Linked DNA regions of Rattus norvegicus. The main gene of each other region encodes a partner of the protein of the gene in region 3 in a complex. Links are inferred from orthologs where the notes say so. Each region holds a gene or a part of one and is shown on either strand. Other genes may lie near its edges. The genes, in order: Odad4, Clxn, Odad1 and Odad3.

Region 1 (3,789 bases), on a different chromosome or scaffold from region 3:
CAGGACAACCAGGGCTACACACAGGCACCCTGTCTCAAAAAAAAAAAAAAACAAAAAACAAAAAAAAAAAACCAAAACAAACAAACTTATATAATTATATATAATTTCTCAGGAGCAGTTGAGATAGTTTTGTTAACATGACCAAGCATGTTATCCTGAATTGAACTTCAAGGCCCTGAGAACCAACTCCCTCAACTTCTTCTACTCTGACTGCCATGGGCATGTCATGGTATGTAGGTCCACACACATAAATGCACACACAAAAATAAATTAAAATGTACTTTTTATTTCATTGAGACAGGCTTTCTCTGTCCGGCTCTGGCTATCCTGGAACTCACTGTGTAGACCAGGCTGGCCTCAAACTCACAGAGATCTGTCTGCCTCTGCCTCTACAATGGCTGGGACTAAAGGTGTGCATCGACACCGACTGGCTTAATAGATTACTTTTATTTTATATATATTGGTGTTTTGCCTGCATATGTGTCTGTGTGGGGGTTTAGAACCTCCTGGAACTAGAGTTACAGACAGTTGGGAGCTGCCATCTGAGTGCTGGGAATTGAACTCAGGTCCTCTTGAAGAGCTCAAGCCTGCTAAGCCATCTCTCCAGCCTCATTTCAGATGGTTGGGAGCCACCATGTGGTTGCTAGGAATTGAACTCAGCACAGCTGTTAACCGCTGGGCCATCTCTCCAGCCCAGCCTCGATCCTTTTGGGGCCAGATGTTTACACGCCAACTCTGGGAAATCACAGCCTTCTGGGTGGCATTTCTGCGGTGTTCTAGTAACTAATCTTCCCAGGGCAGCCTGAGCTGCACAGAGGCGGCGGTGGGCCCTCAGGACTCTTTCCCAGACAGTCTGCCTGTAGGTCCAGCTTCTACTCTGATCTATTCTGAAGGCCTACAGGCTTTATAAGATGGCTCACAATCTGATAATCTCAGCTGAGCTGTGGTTTCTGTCTATCCTCATCCCACTGCTCGGCCTTGTGCACATAGCGTATCTCCGGGGAAACTGAGCCAGTGGCCGAGAAGCAGGCAGAAACGCTTCTGTTCTCGGGGCTTTCTTTTCCTGTTCTCTCAGTGCTCTCTGGAGCTCACCTGCTTCCCCCCCACCCACCCCGCTCATCTCTTCTGTTGGTCCCTACTGAGAATGAGGGGTAGGAGGAGGCGCAGTGACTCACTCACTCAAGATCTATAAAAATGAAAGACGCATATTTAATGGGGGAGCAGGGGCACATGGGGTATGGTATGTAGGAGTCAGTCTCCCAGCTCGTCCTATCCAGACGTCTCACCTGGGAACACTGGCCGCCTGAACCTCGAGCTCACTAAGCCAGCCCTCAGCCTTTCCTCAGTTGTTAAATAGTTTCCGATTTCGATTCGTCCTCTTCTGTTTTCTCCAGCCTCTCCTCCATGGCTGTTTCTGATGGCTTCTCCTGGTTTTGGCTGATATCATCTAGGGTTGGTTGGGTGGAGTCCTCTGAGATCCTTCGGTAGATTTCCCTGGACTCTCTTCTCATCATTTGGCTTGTCGAAGGGGTGTCTCCCAACATCATTTTGCTGCTCGTGAGTCCTGAGCTGCTTCCGTCTTGCTCCTCCACCCTCAGCAGCCTCTGCTTCGACCCCTCTTCATCTTCCGTGGCCTCTCTCTCACTCTCCAGTTCCCTCTCCCACTGCTTCACCACCCTCTCCTGCTCTTCTCGACCTCGTCTCGTTTCCTTCTCCGATGCTCCCGAAAACTCCATCTGTGAACTGATGTCCTCTGGAAAACAGAACGGGGTGGTGCAGGATGAGACAGCCTGCCTGGGCTTCTCCGAGCGAGCGAGCGAGCGAGCGAGCGCAGCAAGGACGGGAGGGTGGCCTTGGTCACATGGCCACACGCTTCCCAAAGGAGAGGACCGGCCATTGCTCGGGTCCTGAAGAAGTTCTGCTCTGGCATCGGGTGAGATGCTGCATGCTCCATTACCGTGCAATTGCGAGGGAGACTGGCGCAGAGGAGATCTCACCACGATCCCCCTCCGAGAAAGAACAAAACCAGAACTTCAACCCTGGACCGCCTGACCCCAAAAATACCCGGCTCCTTTCCCTACAAGAAATGACACAGGGGCTGGGGATTTAGCTCAGTGGTAGAGTGCTTGCCTAGCAAGCGCAAGGCCCTGGGTTCGGTCCCCAGCTCCGAAAAAAAGAAAAAGAAAAAAAAAAAAAAAAGAAATGACACGGGGCTGGAGAGGTGGCTCAGTGGTTAAGAGAACTGACTGCTCTTCCAGAGGTCCTGAGTTCAAATCCCAGCAACCACATGGTGGCTCACGACCATCTGTAATGGGATCTGATGCCCTCTTCTGGTGTGTCTGAAGACAGCGACAGTGTGCTCATATACAAAGAAAGAGATGGCGTAGGTACTTATTCTTTTTTCTTTTTTTTAAAGATTTATTTATGTGAGTTTACTGTCCATGTCTTCAGACACACCAGAAGAAGGCATTGGACTCCATTACAGGTAGTTGTGAGCCACCATGTGGTTGCTGGGAATTGAACTCAGGACCTCTGGAAGAGCAGTCAGTGCTCTTTTTTTTTTTTTTTTTTTTTTTTTTTTTGGTTCTTTTTTTTCGGAGCTGGGGACCGAACCCAGGGCCTTGCGCTTCCTAGGCAAGCGCTCTACCACTGAGCTAAATCCCCAACCCCGCAGTCAGTGCTCTTAACCACTGAGCCATCTCTCTAGCCCATGGGTGTTCATTCTCTGGTCCACACCGTGTAAGCAGCCATTGCCACAGGCTCCTGGTCTGAAACATCACTCTGTATCAGAACCTCCCATAACCTCGCCTTCACCGCTGGGATGCAAAAAACATCCTTCCTCCCTTGACAAAAATGGCATGGGTGTTGAGGAGTGACATGGGGTCTTTTTTCCAGTGACTCCCGATCCTGCCACCTTTGCACTGGTCCCTGGGGAGCAGTCAGTGTTGAGTTCTTTTGTAAACATATGAGCGGGCCGTAAGCAAGAGGGGCTGCTGGAGAGCTGCCGTCCTATAACTCTTGCTCTTTGTCTGATAACTGCAGAAAAGTCACCATCACCTCCTGGGTATCCTTCACGCTCTTCTTCTGGAAGCTGCTCATAGGGAAGTCATCGAGAGTGGTTTAACAAGGTCTCAGTCATTCCGAGGTAAAAAGATAAACAACAGTGCCCTCTTCTGTTCAGACAAGGAAGTGTCTTCTTGAGAAGGCAGGGGATCTGCAGGTGGCAGGCCCAGGGGAGGGGAAACTGCTTCCTGGCCCATCCCCCTCTCCCTAGCCCTCTTCCCCTAGCTATCCCTTCCGTGGCTTGTTGACTGCTCCATGCAACCTACAAACAGAGGCCTGACCTCTCTTTGAGGGAATCAGCTACCACCACTGGGCAGGCACTGGAGAGATGGAGCCCTGAGAGTTGAGGCACACACCTGTAAACCCAGGACTTGGGGGATAGAGGCTAGGGGAGGATCAGGAGTTGATGACCATTCCCAGCTACAGAGGAAATCTGAGGCCAGCCCGGCATACAGGAGACCTTGCTTCAAAACAAAAAGGACAAACCAAAACGAACAGTTGTGGAGGCCTGGAAAATCCCAGCTCTCAGGAGGTTGAAGCAGGAGCAAATGTGACTAACTGGACAAGACTGGAATCAGAGGTCAGCCTCTCATTTCTACATACATGGTACACATGTGTATCAGCACACATACGTGTGCGATAAGGGGATGCTGTCATCTAGCTGCTCTGCTGTGGGAGCCATGGGGACTAGGAAGAACTTGCCCTTGAACCTTGGGGTGGTTGGGG
Region 2 (5,221 bases), on a different chromosome or scaffold from region 3:
ATAGTAGCTAGCATCTTGGTCTTCTAACTCTTAAAAGCTGTCTTCTCCCTCTTCTTTGATTTTTCTCTGAGTCTTAGAAATATCCACAAATGGAACCTCATAAAACTGCAAAACTTCTGTAAGGCAAAGGACACTGTCATTAGGACAAAATGGCAACCAACAGATTGGGAAAAGATCTTTACCAATCCTATATCTGATAGAGGGCTAATATCCAAAATATACAAAGAACTCAAGTTAGATTCCAGAGAGTCAAATAAACCTATTATAAATAGGGTACAGAGCTAAACAAAGAATTCTCAGCTGAGAAAAAATCAAATGGCTGGGAAGCACCTAAAGAAATGCTCAACATCCTTAGTCATCAGGGAAATGCAAATCAAAACAACTCTGATTCCACTTCACACCAGTCAGAATGGCTAAGATCAAAAACTCAGGTGACAACAGATGCTGGTGAGGATGTGGAGAAAGAGGAACACTCCTCCATTGTTGGTTGGATTGCAGGCTGGTACAACCACTCTGGAAATCAGTCTGGAGGTTCCTCAGAAAATTGGACATTGCACTACCTGAGGACCCAGCTATACCTCTCTTGGGCATATACCCAAAAGATGCTCCAATATACAACAAAGACACATGATCCACTATGTTCATAGCAGCCTTATTTATAATATTCAGAAGCTGGAAATAACCCAGATGCCCTTCAACAGAGGAATGGATACAGAAAATGTGGTACATCTACACAATGGAATGCTACTCAGCTATCAAAAACAATGACTTCATGAAATTCATAGGCAAATGGAATGAACTAGAAAATATCATCCTGAATGAGGTAACTCAATCACAGAAAAACGCACATGGTATTGCACTCACTGATAAGTGGATATTAGCCCAAAAGCTGGAATTACCCAAGATACAATCCACAGGCCAAAGTGGACGACCAAAGTGTGGACGCTTCACTCCTTAAAAGGGGGAACAAAAATATTCATAGGAGGGGATATAGAGACAAAGTTTGGAGCAGAGACTGAAGGAACTGCCATTCAGAGCCTGCTCCTGAGAAGTTCAGCCAGAGAATGAGAAATAGAGAGGCAAATGCTAGCAGCAAACCATTGAACTGAGAACAGGGTACCTGAAGAAAGAAAGAAAGAGAGAGAGAGAGAGAGAGAGAGAGAGAGAGAGAGAGAGAGAGAGATTGATTGATTGTGTTGCATATGTATCAGTTTGGGTTAGGTACCTCATGGTCCCTTATTCTTGCATAATGACAAACTGTGCTTCTCTGAAATAGTCTCTATCTGTTGAGAAAGAGACTTACTTGATGCAGAATGAAAACTACACTTATTTGTGGCTACAGGAATAATTATTTAGAATACAGTTAGAAATTATTCTGGTTTAGGAAAATGGCAATTGTAGGTTCTCCTTTAGGGTTCATGTTCCAGCCATGGTTAGTTGTCTAGGATTATAGTACCAGACACGAGGCCTCTCCTGCTCAGACCAATTAAACAGCTGGTGGTTACTTGCAAGATAAAAGTGCCACCTTGCAGTATGGTGGATCTTTTGCCAGCCCAGTTGTTTTTCTGGCTCATAGGCTTTTCTCTGGGTAGGACTACTGATTGCTCCTCTCTCTTGGCAGCATGCATAACACTTTAAAATATAAGAGCTAGTCCTCAGGGTTTCCAGGCCAGCTCCATGTCAATTTCTATGAATTCTGTCTCTTAAGTGTGTGATGTCTTCAGCAATAGGGTCTCACTTTCAAGTTCTGGAAGACAAAGGCAACAGCTGCAGCTCATATTGTCTTGGAAATCTCATGTATTCTCCTAACCAATAATTGGCCTGGAGCTTTCCCAAGTCTGGCATTGAATTTTGTGTCAAATAGTATATGGCTCTTGGAAATAGGAAAAATACCCTCACCTCTTTATTTTTTAAATTGTTATCACAGTTCATGAAGAATTGTGAACTTACGAAGCGTACTCAATCAAATAAACATTGTATGTGCCAGTTATTAATGTATCAATTTCTGATTACAGAAATGTTTGTACTCATTTTAAAAATATCAGATATTCTCCCAGAGATGAAAGCATTTCATATAAACAACAAAAGAACACCATCTCTTATCACATTAATAAACAACTTAAATGACAGCCTGACACTTTCTGAGAATTTTAAGATGCTCGCAGTGTAACAATGTATCATAGTTTTCAGTCAGGGCACTACTCCCATGGTATCAATTCTCATACACTGTGTTAGATACTAATGATATAAATGTGCTAGGCCCAAAAACTCCAGAGCTGCACTAGAAGTTCACTTCCACACCTTCATACAACAGAGGTGGTTTGAAGATGTGACCTCTCGATTTTCATTGTGACCAGTAGCTCTTCTAGTGTCTACTGTGACTATCACACAGCTTCTAAATTCACACATCAAACAATACTGCTCTAATCTCAATTGAGAATCACACTGCTTCTCAGCCCAAGAATAGCTTATTTTTCAGTCCGAGTACAATGCTCTGGTGTTTGGTCAACCGCAGGATCTCCTTTACCTGTGGATATGACTGCGAGTTGGAAATTGAATATCTGAAACTGGGGACAGATTCCTTACCATCTTAGATTTGCTGAGCAATACATTTTTCAAAAGAATGCCTAAGACAGTGCCTGTAACACTTCAAGTCTCTTTCTTAATGGTGATGACTGTTTTCTTTATGGATATCTTAGCAAACTTCCAGAGCTTAGACCTCAGCTTCTTTTGCTCTAGAAAGAGCCAGAAAGTAGGTTATGGCTCTTCTACTTTCTTGATTCTGGTGTTTTTCTAGGACTTACTTTTCAACCTGTTTAAAGCTGAACCCACATACCTCCCAGACACACAACACACCATATTGCTTCTCTAACATAAAAGCAAATAAAGAGGGAGCTCGGGCAGATCACACACTAGATGCTTGAGATGGGACAGGATGCCTCCCAAGGACCTGGAACTCCAGAAAGGGATTCCCTTCCAGATTCTCTTGAGGGGGAGTTTGGAGGGGCCATTGCTGATGAAAGCAGGAAGTGGGGACTGGGTAGAAAGAGATCTAGTCCAGAAGCCATGGGTCCTCTCGCATTCGGTTCTTACTTACAGTGCTTGCAACTTTTAGTTAAGGTGTCCGTCAACTTCTGCAGTTTCTTTCGGTTCATGATCGGTGTTAAGAAAATTAGATTTTAGTGTGTCATCCAGAGCATAGTGCCAGGACGCTCCGGCTCCGGAGCGCCAGGCCGAGGGAGCCTGGTGTAGCCAGATGGCTCTGAGCTTTTGCGCCTTTGCGACCCCAACAGACTGTAGCCATGACAACGCCTCAGAGGGCTACCAATTGGCTCCCAGGGGCGGGGCGCTCTCGAGTTTAAAGCAGCCTCTGCAGAGCAGCCGTGGCAACGGCCTGGCGGTACACTGATTGCCTCCTGTCTGGGAGGCAGCCTGGTCAGCTCAGTAATGCCTGCCAGTCAAGGCTTCCCAGAATAGGCACTGTGCCTACATTTAGTCCCAGTTGCAGCTTTCTAGCCTGTCACTTTGCAGACTGTAATGTTTGCCGTGTTGGAAATTTTTATTTTCACTTGTCACACCATCTTTTCGGTTCACAGCCTCTCAAGACTGCATCATAATTAGAAGAGTAAGGTGTGCAAACTGGATAGATGTTTCGTGTGATGAGCACAAGAAGGATTTAGGTTTCTCAGGGAGATCTGTGGGGGTGCTGGAGTGAAGTAGGGGTGTCATCCGAGCAATTGCCAGAAAGGAGTCTGAACAATTAAGAGAAAGTAGATCTCCCTCTCCCCTCCCTCCCTCCCTTCCTCCCTCCCTCCGTCCCTCCCTCCCTCCCTCCCTGCCTGCCTGCCTCCCTCCCTCCTTCCCTCCTCCTCTTACTTCTCTTCCTCTTCTCTCTCTCCCTCTCCCTCTCCCTCTCCCTCTCCCTCTCCCTCTCCCTCTCTCTATCTTCTGTCTCACTCGTTGGATTGGGGAAATTTGCAAAAGACCAGTGATTTTAAGTTCATTAATTAAAAATACATTCTCTTCTATGGAAATAGGTTCCCACTTAGGTATGGCTTATAACTGAAGTTTGCTTTTTTAAAATTCCCATTAAAATTGATCCTTTGTTTATATTTAAGACAAGTTCTGGCTCTGTTGAAAGAAAGAAGGAAGGAAAGAGAGAGAGAGAGAGAGAGAGAGAGAGAGAGAGAGAGAGAGAAGGAAAGGAAAGGAAAGGAAAGGAAAGGAAAGGAAAGGAAAGGAAAGGAAAGGAAAGGAAAGGAAAGGAAAGGAAAGGAAAGGAAAGGAAAGGAAAGGGAGGGATGGGCTGCAATACCCTTTGCTTTACTCAACAACACATGGGATGCTCCTCTTGAATTTCGATGCAAATGAATGAGCTACCTCAACATGAACCTTCAGATCTAAAAGGCTGGAGAATTACAGTAGTTTATTGTAAACATAATGTTCTTTCAACCTGAAATAGATACATTGTGCTAAGAATAAGGAACAGCCCAATATGAAATAGTACCAGTTTTGGGGGTCCCCGGTTTTCTTTTACTGTTTTATTTGTAGAAATAATTGCAGTGTTGTTTGAAACCAGAACCAAAAACCCTGAGTAACCCGAGGGACTGTTCCTCCTTAAAGAAAATTGAGAACTGTTAAGCAATATGAAATAGTGCCAGTGTCCTCACATCTAGAAGCCAAGAAGCTCTGGGGTACTAGAAGCAAATGGGGACTGGAAATACTGTGATCTGGTTCCCATAAAATCTTAGAGTTTGTTCTTTACATCACAGAATTAATGGCAAAATCATGGACATATGAGGTGTCTTAAGAAGCAGGCTTCCATGGATGGTGAGGCAAGTTGACAGACCAAGTTTGTGTCTTAGGGATCAGGTTTCCACTGATGGTGAACACACTAATAAGTATGTCCCAGTATCTTGGGAGACAGCACACATTGAAGGTCTCTCAGAGGCACATATATATGAGATGATTGATTATTTCAACAGGCCCTGTCTGCTTAACCTGAAAAAAAATGCAGGGTCAGTGTTAAAGCCTGCTGAGATTAAAGCAGGCCAGTGACAAACATCTCTTAACCATCAAACAACATTTGAAAGAAAACTCCTGTGCTTTCCCAAGGTACCATTGAGTTAAAGAGATCTGCATGAATTGTGTGCAGCTCATTTCTTTGAGCTATGAAGACAACCTCAGCACATCCTTGTCAGGATAATTATATTTATTTAAG
Region 3 (3,886 bases):
GCTTCAAGCGTAGGCATTTCTTACAGTCTGGAGGTCAGAAGAGCTGGTCCTTCAGAGGGCGTGAGGGCGGGTGTGCTCCTGTGTGCCTCTTTGATTCTGAATGGCTTAATTTCCTCCATCTTGCAACTTGACGCATTGAATGTCTACACCGTGGGTCCATTCTGTCTCCCTTGTTTTTGCATGTAGGTGTCCATGTGTGTGCTCTGCTATACAGGTGTGCACATAGGTACAGATGTGTGTGTTTGTGTATGTGTATATGTGTGCTTGTTTTCCTATCTGTTTTACAAGGTTAGGTGTGTCTGAAGCACATAGTGTGTCCTCTTGCGTTAGCAGTTACCGTACTCCAAGGGGCCTTGTCTCCTAAGAAATCACATCCCGAGGCACTGGGGACGTTTAGACTTCCAAAGGAGGAACCTAGAGGGATGCACTTCCACCTATAATAGTGGCTGTTACAAAGTTGTCCCTCTTTCTGTTATTTCCTCTTAGCAGAGTAGCCAAGACATCCTTTAGGAAGTTAAACATGAACCAGAATCAATCACGATATATGTTTAAAGAATATCCAGGGATGTCACAAGGCTTCTAAGGAGGGCAGCTGGAGGGACAGGCTCACTTGTGAGGGGAGACAGGACTCAGCTATGGTGTTTCTGTCATTACCATCAGTCTGTTCACCAATTAAATACAACTGGAAACATGGGGCTTAGGGCAAGGGGTGGTAACCTGGTGGCTTCTGGGATGCATGTGTTCCAGGTGGGATCTGAGCCCTGGCATTATTGAGCTGGTGGGAATGAGGTTTGTTTTCAGCCAACGTGTACCACCAAGGCAGCGTCATGGTAACTCTCCCTTTACCCTCTTGAACCTGAGGCTAGGCCAATGGACGTTGTGCCTGGCTGTCTGGGCTGCACAGAGTCATTCGCTCTTTGAAACTTGCCTTTGCAGGGAGGCTGTGGTTATGTACCGTGTGAGGGGAGCACAGGGGCCCTGACAAATATTCCTCTTTGATCCCAGATATCCAGGTTCTCTTCGACAAGGCTCAGTGTGACAACAGTGTCATCAAGGATCTCCTTGGGGTCAAGACCTACATGCGGGATAGGGACATAGGTCTCTTCCTGAGTACCATTGAGAAGCGGCTGGTGCAGCTTCTCACGGTGCAGGCCTTCCTTGAGGTCCAGGTGAGTAGGCAGGGACTTGGGTGTTGGCATCAGGCTTGGCCAGGCCTGCACTAACTCTAGACTCCCACACTCTCAGAACAATGTCCCTTTGGCTGATGCTGCGCTTCTGGCACTGGGTCAGAGCATACAGGAACCCCCAAAGAAGACTACCCCACTCAAGCCTCCTGACACCATGTGAGGCTTGGGCCCAGCAGGGAAGGGGCTGACCACAGGGGGCAGACAAAAGGGGTGGGGTGGAGGGCATGGGTATGGCTTTCGGATATGGCTTTCTCAGGCACAACGGGTGCAATGAGAGCTTGGAGGGAGGTCGGGATAGAGTGCGAAGATGGGGTGCTGATGCTCCAAGGGGAGGGGGCAGGAACAGGACGGCTGGGATCTATGTATGAGGCAGACCTATGAAACCAGACTTTCTACCTTTCTCCCACCTGAGGGAGGACTCCTCAGGGGTTGTAATCAAAGACGATTACCCTATGAGCAAGGAGGAACTGCTGAGTCAAGTCATGAAGTTGGTGAGAGAGGGGCTCTCGGGCCAGGGGGCGGTAGGAAGGATTTCTAAACCCGTTGACCCCCTAATATTGCCCACTTCCAGGTGCAGCTCCAGGATGAGGAGGGGTCTCCAAAGAAGCGGGACAGCAGCCCAAGTTTGACTCTTTCCAGCCCACGCATCTCCTTAGCAGCTGCCTCTGTGCACGCTAGAAAGGCCAGCGTAGTCCCTGAGTCTATCCTGAGCCACAAGACAGGCCGAGGCCGTGGCACTGGCTCCATAAGCCATGTCACCTTTGGTGACTCTGCTTCTGCTCCAGGCCCTGTGACCTTGGCTTCCACCAGTGCCAGTGGACTACCTGTGTCCGGCCGGGGCTCTCAGGGGGGGCGTGGGGCCTTCAAACACACTAGCTCCAGCAGCTACCTGGGGTCTACTGGGTATCTAGAGACCAGCAGAGGCCGCGAGAGCGGGACAGGAGGCGGTCACAGCCAAAGCATGGGATCCGAGATGAGTAGAGGCTTCAGCTCCGGCAGTGGCCAGACATCCAGTGCTGCCCCCGCCTCCAGGCCCAGCTCTGCTACCAGCAAGGACTCGAGGGGCTATAACTAGGGTTGCAGGTCCCCTTCTGTCTCAACCCTTGGCAGGTTTTCTAATTTGTGCCCTGCTCTTCCCCAGAGACTCCTTTCCAATCCCTGTAAGCCCAGGCCTCTTGAGCTTCCCTCCGTCTCTTCCCATCTGCTCCCATCGTTACCCTGCCTTGGCCTTGACTCTCTGTTGCCCTCCTCCTCCTCCTTGCTTCCCGTCTCTGCCCTCCTCAACCTCTCCCCGAAGCTTCCCTTCATCTGATGTCTCTGTCTCCTAACTGGATTTCCCTCCATTGACTTAGGTGAACCGTGACAATAGGAAATAAAGGTCAGAGCCCCGTTTTTCCAAGCCCGGCTCCTACAAGTGTGTTCAGACCTCATGCCTTCTGTTTCCAGCTTAGAGAGAAAAAATTGTGAGCCCCTCCCTATGTCTGCCTACCCCTGCATGCATGCATTAATCCATCTGTCGGGGTCTGGGAATCACTGCACGAACTGCCCGGATACCAATCTCAGTCAAATAGGGCTGGCTGGTTTACTGAAGGCACGGCCCAAGTTCAGGCTCGGGAGCTAAACTGCGACCCCCAGCCTGAATTCTACAGAGCTCTGAAGCCTGAGGTCCACAAATATCTGTGCCAAGCTATTCCACCAATCAGGACATAGGAATAGAGGACTTCTTAGGAACAAGTCTTTGTTTTACATTTATCCTGTTCTCATTGGATGGGTTCTTCAACTGTGGTGCGGGACTTGGCTTCCCTAACGTTCATGTCTCAACTTTGCCAACCAGGATGTCCATGCCTCTTTCTGTCAAGTAGAATGTCAATTCCTAGGGAGGCCTTGGGAATTTAAACTTTCTTTGACTTCTACTCAAAACGGAAGTTTTACTCCAAATGGCTTCTTATATTGGTGCAGGTGTCTCTCTAATCTCGGGGTCCATCCCAGGGGCAGCTTATAGAAGCAAACATCATAAAAAGCTCATATGGAAGTGCGAGAAGTGATGCTGGGCCGTGGGTTCCAGTTCTAGCTTATTGTGGCTTACTATACAAAGCAGTTCTAACTGACCTCCATTGTGATTGGTCTCTAAGAACACCAACACACAGAACTGTAACAGAATCTGCAATCAACTCAGGCAGGAGCGTCAGCACATGGGGAAGTTTTCTTGTAACATTAGTAACCACACGAAAGGGCTGGCTAGACAGGCAACAGTTACCCAGGCCTTAACACACCTAGCCATCTTCTGCGTTTTCCCTTTTATGGCTCTACCGGCATCTGTATCAGGACAGGCTGGGTTATGCTGCAGTGGCAAACGTCTTCCGCATCCGACGCTTCTGTGGCTAGGTTTCTCTTGCTCTGACATTCTTGCTTCTTTGTGGGTTCGTTAAGGCCTCCACTCCACATCATGCTCTTGCCCCAGGCTGACAGGACAACCTCAACCTGGAGATGCAGTCCTGGAAAAGAAAAAAAAAACAAAAAACAAAACAAAACAAAACAAAAAAAAAAAAACAAAAACGGCAACTCTTGGAGCTTTTCATGGACCCAGTGGTCCTATCATGCACATTGACTAGCTGAACAGGCCTTGGCTGGGGAAGCTATGGGGCTTTGCAGACAACCCTGACTGGCCTTGAGTTTGACATATGGCAGAAGTTGACCTT
Region 4 (4,787 bases), on a different chromosome or scaffold from region 3:
GGGGTGCTGTTCTAAAGCAGGATCATGCAGCAGAGATACACGAGGTCTTGGAAGGCATCGCCACTATTACCAAGAGTAGGCCCAGAACAAGGCCCTGGTTCCACCATAGGCATGATCTGGACAGATCACTGAATCCTAGACCATTCCACACTGTGATGGTCTGAGAAACGGAACCTGACAAATAAAACTCCCAGAACCGACGTACCAAAGAAGTCAGCTCAGGGGAAGAGTGGAAGGAAGTAGGGCTAAGGTGGACAGCTCTGCTGGAGATAGAGGAGACAGGAGAGGACACCTTGAAGCAAAAAGGAGCATTTGCTTGCCTGGTGTGAGCCCAGGGTACTCACATGCGACTCAGCTACTCCAGTGGCATCTTTGACCTTGCCAAACATCACTTCCATCTGGTACATGCTCCAGCGCTGCCGCAGCTCCTGCTCCTTGTGGCGTTGGTGGTCCTGTATTGTATCTTCTGACTGCAGGAGTACGTGGTCTCGGTGGGTCTGCTTGAGAGTGGGGGACAGTCAAGGGAACTGTCAACATCAACTCCAGATAAAGGGCTTGGGGCAGGGGCCTCGATTCGACTTAGCTTAGATTGTGGGGAACAGGACAAAGGCTTGGGGCCAGGTTCAGGCATCCAGGTAGGAGTCAGATAGGTGGTCTCAGAACCAGGTAAGGAGCCAGAGTCATAGAAGGAGTAGTCTCTGGAAGGGGTGAGCTAGACCCCCACTCAGATATAGAACAGGGGCCTAAATCAAATGGGGAAGGATGAGAACAGGGTCAGATAGTTCAGGGCAGAACTGGAGCCCATGGCTTGTCCCTGGAAAAGAGGCTGAGGTGAGGTTGTGAGAGGAACCATTGTGCCAAATGGGGGCGGAGTCAGGGAGGGGAGGGGTTAGGATAGACGCCAGGTGTAGGGAAGCCTCTACCTCAGGATGTGTACACAAAGCGGGGACTAGGACCCTCTGGTTTGAACTGGCAAAGCCCTACCCGCTTAGGTATGCACACCTTGCGCTCCATACGCTCCGTCTGGAGTTTCTTCTCTTCCGCCCGCTTCTTGCAGTCAGTTATGTAATGGTCACGCTTCTTGCGGTCTCTGATCGCAGTCTCCTCCAGATACTGCAGCTGGTTCTAGGGGACAGGCGGGCACTTGGTATCTGTCCAGCTATAGTGGAGCAGTGGGCACCACGCGACCCAATAGCATGTGATTGCCAGGAGAGGCTAAAGACAAGTGAATTCTGACTAGAGTCTCTGCTCTCTTGGTATTCCTGAACTATTTCCTCTGAACTGAAACACTCCCCACTAGAGAGAGGGAGGCCCAAGGCTCAGGAAGTCCATGAAGCTTACAATGCTCAAGAAACAAGATTCACAAGTCTCCTCCCCACCCCCATGTTACAGTGAATGGGTGTGTTGGTTTGAATAGGGTTGGCTCCCACAGACTCATGTGTTTGAATGCTTGGTCAGAGTGACATTATTACAAAGTGTGGCTTTGTTGGAATAGGTGTGGCCTTGTTGGAGCAAGTGTGTCACTGTGGGGGTGGGCTTTGAGATCCTCCTCCTAGCTGAATGAGGAAGTCTGTCTTTTCCTGGTTGCCATCAGAACAAGATATAGAACTCTATAGAGGTGTGCCTGCCTGGATGCCGCCATGCTCCTGGCTTGATAATACTGAACTGACCCTCTGACCTGTAAGCCAACCCTGATTAAACGTTGTCCTTATAAGAGTTGCCTTGGTCATAGTGTCTGTTCACAGCAATGGGAACCCTATCTGACTCTGATGAGGGGACTCTGATGAATGGAACTCTAGAGATCCCACTTTCATGTCAGTGACCCCCTTCACCCATGTTCTGGAAGAAAGCCTCATAAACTCATTGTTCTCCAAGTTGGTCTTTGGTGGAGTGGTTGGGGTTTGGTTTTATTTTATTTTTGTAACTTTGTAGCCCAGGGTGACCTAGAACTCTCTATGTAGACTAGGCTGGCCTGGAATTCACAGAGATCCTGCCTCCGCCTCCAAACATGGAGATTAAAAGCATGCATCAAGGGGCTGGGGATTTAGCTCAGTGGTAGAGCGCTTACCTAGGAAGCGCAAGGCCCTGAGTTCGGTCCCCAGCTCCGAAAAAAAAAAGAACCAAAAAAAAAAAAGAACCAAAAAACATGCATCAACCCACCTGTCAGTGGTTAGTGTTTTTTTTTTTTAATGTTTAGATTTATTTATTTCATATGAATACTCTGTCACTGTCTTCAGATACACCAGAAGAGGGCATCGGATCCCATTACAGATGGCTGCGAGCCACCATGTGGTTGCTCGGAATTGAACTCAGGACCTCTGGAAGAGCAGTCAGTGCCCTTAACCACTGAGCCATCTCTCCAGCCTCGTGGTTAGTGTTTTATGTGGGAAGAGAGAGCACCATCTATCCAGGGAAAGTCCTGTAAAACTCTGGTATATGAGAAGGGCCCCCACCCCTGCCCCATCTGGGACAAGAAGGCAAGTACCCCCGCCCCTGCCCCATCTGGGACAAGAAGGCAAGTACCTTGGCAATGTCCCGGGCATTTATAGCCTCTTGGTTCACCACTTTCAGCTCCTGCACTTCATGTTTGGTGTTCATCACCTCAGCTTCCATGGAATCCAGCCGGTTCTCCAAGTTGAGACTCTCCTCCTGGCATATGGAGAGAGGGAAGGCTGTGACTGCTGTCCCTGGTCAGGTCCATCTTCTTCCCCTCCCTCTCTCTCCAGTGTTCCTACCTGAAGGTAAGACTTGAGCTGCAGGTACACATTGGTGATGTGCTCTGCCTCCTCTGCTTTCATCCGGGCCTTCTCCAGCCGGTTCTCCAGGTTGCGCATGGTCTAGGGGACGGCAGGGCTAGGCCAAGTTCCTTCCACCCACCATGCCTCCCCCAGGACCCTGCAGCCCTCAGCAGGCCCCACCTTGGCGGCCTCTGTGTTGCTGTCTTGGATCTCTGCCATCTCCAGCTGCCGCAGGCTGTGCTGCAGCCTCAGTTCCTCCAGCCGTTTCTGCCGAAGGATTACCTGGTGTCGTAAGGCATTCAGCTGGTTCATCTTCTCCCTCAACTGGTGCTCCAGGTGCTCCAGGGCCTGCTGTAGGGGAGGACGGAGAACAGAGCCTCAGCTTGCTCTCCCAAGTCCTTGAGTTCTCCTGGAAGCCCTTGTCTCTCTGGTCTCCTACCTGCTTTCCAGAACCCTTGGCATCTGATGCTTTTCTTTTTTCTATCCGTATGTGAGAGAGAGAGAGAGAGAGAGAGAGAGAGAGAGAGAGAGAGAGAGAACCCATAGGAAAATTTGAGCCTTGTGTGTGCAGCTATTCCCAGATCTCTTTTACATTTATTTATTTATTTGTTTATATTTATTTATTTATATTTTCAAGACATGGTCTCATAAGGTCTAGATTGGCTTTGAACTTTGTGTGCAGCCAGAGATAAATTTGAACTTCTGATCTTTCTGCATAGACTTTCTGGGTGTTGGGATCATATCAGTACACCATCGAACCCCCATTTTCTGAGGCCCTGGAGAGCAGCGGGGTTTCAGGCTGTGTGCTAGGAAAACCCTCCACTGTCTCAGCCACTCCTTCAGTCTCTCTCTCTGCGCACGTGCACCTGCTCCAGGACCTGAGTACACAGAGGTCAGAACATGCCTTTCCATGTTTCTGGGGGCACATGTGGAGGTCAGAGGAGAACTATGGGAGGGAATCGGTTCTTCCACTATCTGGGCCTCAGAGGTTGACACTAGACTCGGCAAAAAGCACTTTTACCTGTTTGGCCATCTCTGCAGCTCGCGATCAGAATTCTGTTTGTTTTGTTTTTTGTTTTTTGTTTTTTGTTTTTTTTCCTTCTGTAGCTGGGGACCGAACCCAGGGCCTTGTGCTTGCTAGGCAAGCGCTCTACCACTGAGCTAAATCCCCAACCCCTTGTTTTTTGTTTTTCAAGACAGGGTTTTTCTGTGTTACCCTGTCTTGGAACTCACTATGTAGACCTGGCTGGCCTGGAACTCAGAGATCCATCTGCCTCTGCTGGAATTAAAGGCAAATGCACCATGCCTGACTTTAATTAATTAATTGATTAATTAATTTATTTGTGTGTATGTGCGCTCTGACTGCATATATGCCTTTATGCCAGAAGAGGGCATAACCACTAAGATAGTTGCTAGCCACCATGTGGTTGCTGGGAATTGAACTCAGGACCTCTAGAAGAGTAGTCAATGCCCTTAAGCCATCTCTCCAGCTCCCACACTCAGATTTTTATATAGGTTCTGGAAATCAGGCTCAGGGTCTCATGTTTGCACAGCAAGCACGTCACTGACTGAGCCGCCTCCTCAGGTCCCTAGCTCATCTCCTATAACATTACTTACACTTTTACTTCATCTTTAATTTTATGTGTAATGGTGTTTTGTCTGCATGTGTATCTGTGCCAGGATGTCAGAAGAGGGCATTGGATCCCAAGCAGCTGGGGTTACAGACATCTGTGAGCAGCCATGTGGGTGCTGGGAACCAAACCCAGGTCCTTTGCTCTAAACCACTGAGCCATTGCTCCAGCCCTGGAGTTTTGTTTTGTTTTGTATCCCTTTTCTTTTTTGTTTCCTTTCCTTTTCTTTCTTTCCTCTCTCTCTGTCTCTCTCTTCTCTCCCTCTCACTCATAAAGCTTAGCTGATGCATTATTGGCATTAGTATGAGGCCACAGGGTGATGGCACAGGGCAAGGCAACACCAAAGAGAAAAACCCTGTGGCCTCAGATGGAGAAAATCCAGAATGGCATGGAGAAAACCTACTGCATGAGAGGTAGG

What was found.
Region 1: Odad1 (region 3) and Odad4 share a complex: the UniProt entries of both Homo sapiens proteins name them as parts of the outer dynein arm-docking complex. The link is inferred for Rattus norvegicus from reciprocal best matches to the Homo sapiens genes ODAD1 and ODAD4.
Region 2: Odad1 (region 3) and Clxn share a complex: the UniProt entries of both Homo sapiens proteins name them as parts of the outer dynein arm-docking complex. The link is inferred for Rattus norvegicus from reciprocal best matches to the Homo sapiens genes ODAD1 and CLXN.
Region 4: the proteins of Odad1 (region 3) and Odad3 are in contact, whole or in part, in a cryo-EM structure (PDB 9CPB), measured with the Bos taurus proteins. The link is inferred for Rattus norvegicus from reciprocal best matches to the Homo sapiens genes ODAD1 and ODAD3. Residues at the interface, in XP_024834988.1 of Bos taurus: Leu31, Gln32, Gln34, Cys35, Met38, Glu41, Arg42, Tyr45, Val49, Arg52, Ile53, Gln56, Leu57, Glu59, Ile60, Leu63, Glu64, Val66, Arg67, Leu70, Arg71, Gln73, Ile74, Ala77, Gln78, Asp86, Arg89, Leu90, Ser92, Met93; in NP_001095517.1 of Bos taurus: Gln69, Leu73, Lys76, Ile77, Leu79, Leu80, Asp83, Arg84, Phe87, Tyr88, Thr91, Asn94, Ile95, Asn98, Gln99, Thr101, Ile102, Leu105, Arg106, Glu108, Thr109, Leu112, Gln113, Gln115, Leu116, Leu119, Gly122, Asp123, Val126, Ala129.

Annotation. Positions count from the first base shown.
Region 1 is NC_086028.1:86,006,342-86,010,130, reverse strand, and holds the end of Odad4 (outer dynein arm-docking complex subunit 4), read right to left. Parts: intron 1,754-3,789; coding exon 1,350-1,753; 3' UTR 1,188-1,349; downstream 1-1,187. UniProt on the Homo sapiens protein: Component of the outer dynein arm-docking complex (ODA-DC) that mediates outer dynein arms (ODA) binding onto the doublet microtubule. Plays an essential role for the assembly of ODA-DC and for the docking of ODA in ciliary axoneme.
Region 2 is NC_086029.1:99,497,406-99,502,626, forward strand, and holds the start of Clxn (calaxin), read right to left. Parts: upstream 3,278-5,221; 5' UTR 3,156-3,277; coding exon 3,098-3,155; intron 1-3,097. UniProt on the Homo sapiens protein: Component of the outer dynein arm-docking complex (ODA-DC) that mediates outer dynein arms (ODA) binding onto the doublet microtubule. Seems to regulate the assembly of both ODAs and their axonemal docking complex onto ciliary microtubules.
Region 3 is NC_086019.1:105,554,761-105,558,646, forward strand, and holds the end of Odad1 (outer dynein arm-docking complex subunit 1), read left to right. Parts: intron 1-1,005; coding exon 1,006-1,169; intron 1,170-1,245; coding exon 1,246-1,343; intron 1,344-1,599; coding exon 1,600-1,678; intron 1,679-1,758; coding exon 1,759-2,262; 3' UTR 2,263-2,598; downstream 2,599-3,886. UniProt on the Homo sapiens protein: Component of the outer dynein arm-docking complex (ODA-DC) that mediates outer dynein arms (ODA) binding onto the doublet microtubule. Involved in mediating assembly of both ODAs and their axonemal docking complex onto ciliary microtubules.
Region 4 is NC_086026.1:28,799,683-28,804,469, forward strand, and holds part of Odad3 (coiled-coil domain-containing protein 151), read right to left. Parts: intron 3,090-4,787; coding exon 2,919-3,089; intron 2,838-2,918; coding exon 2,736-2,837; exon of another isoform or gene 2,650-2,735; coding exon 2,524-2,649; intron 2,371-2,523; exon of another isoform or gene 2,238-2,370; intron 1,126-2,237; coding exon 1,003-1,125; intron 501-1,002; coding exon of another isoform or gene 498-500; coding exon 345-497; intron 1-344. UniProt on the Homo sapiens protein: Component of the outer dynein arm-docking complex (ODA-DC) that mediates outer dynein arms (ODA) binding onto the doublet microtubule. Involved in mediating assembly of both ODAs and their axonemal docking complex onto ciliary microtubules.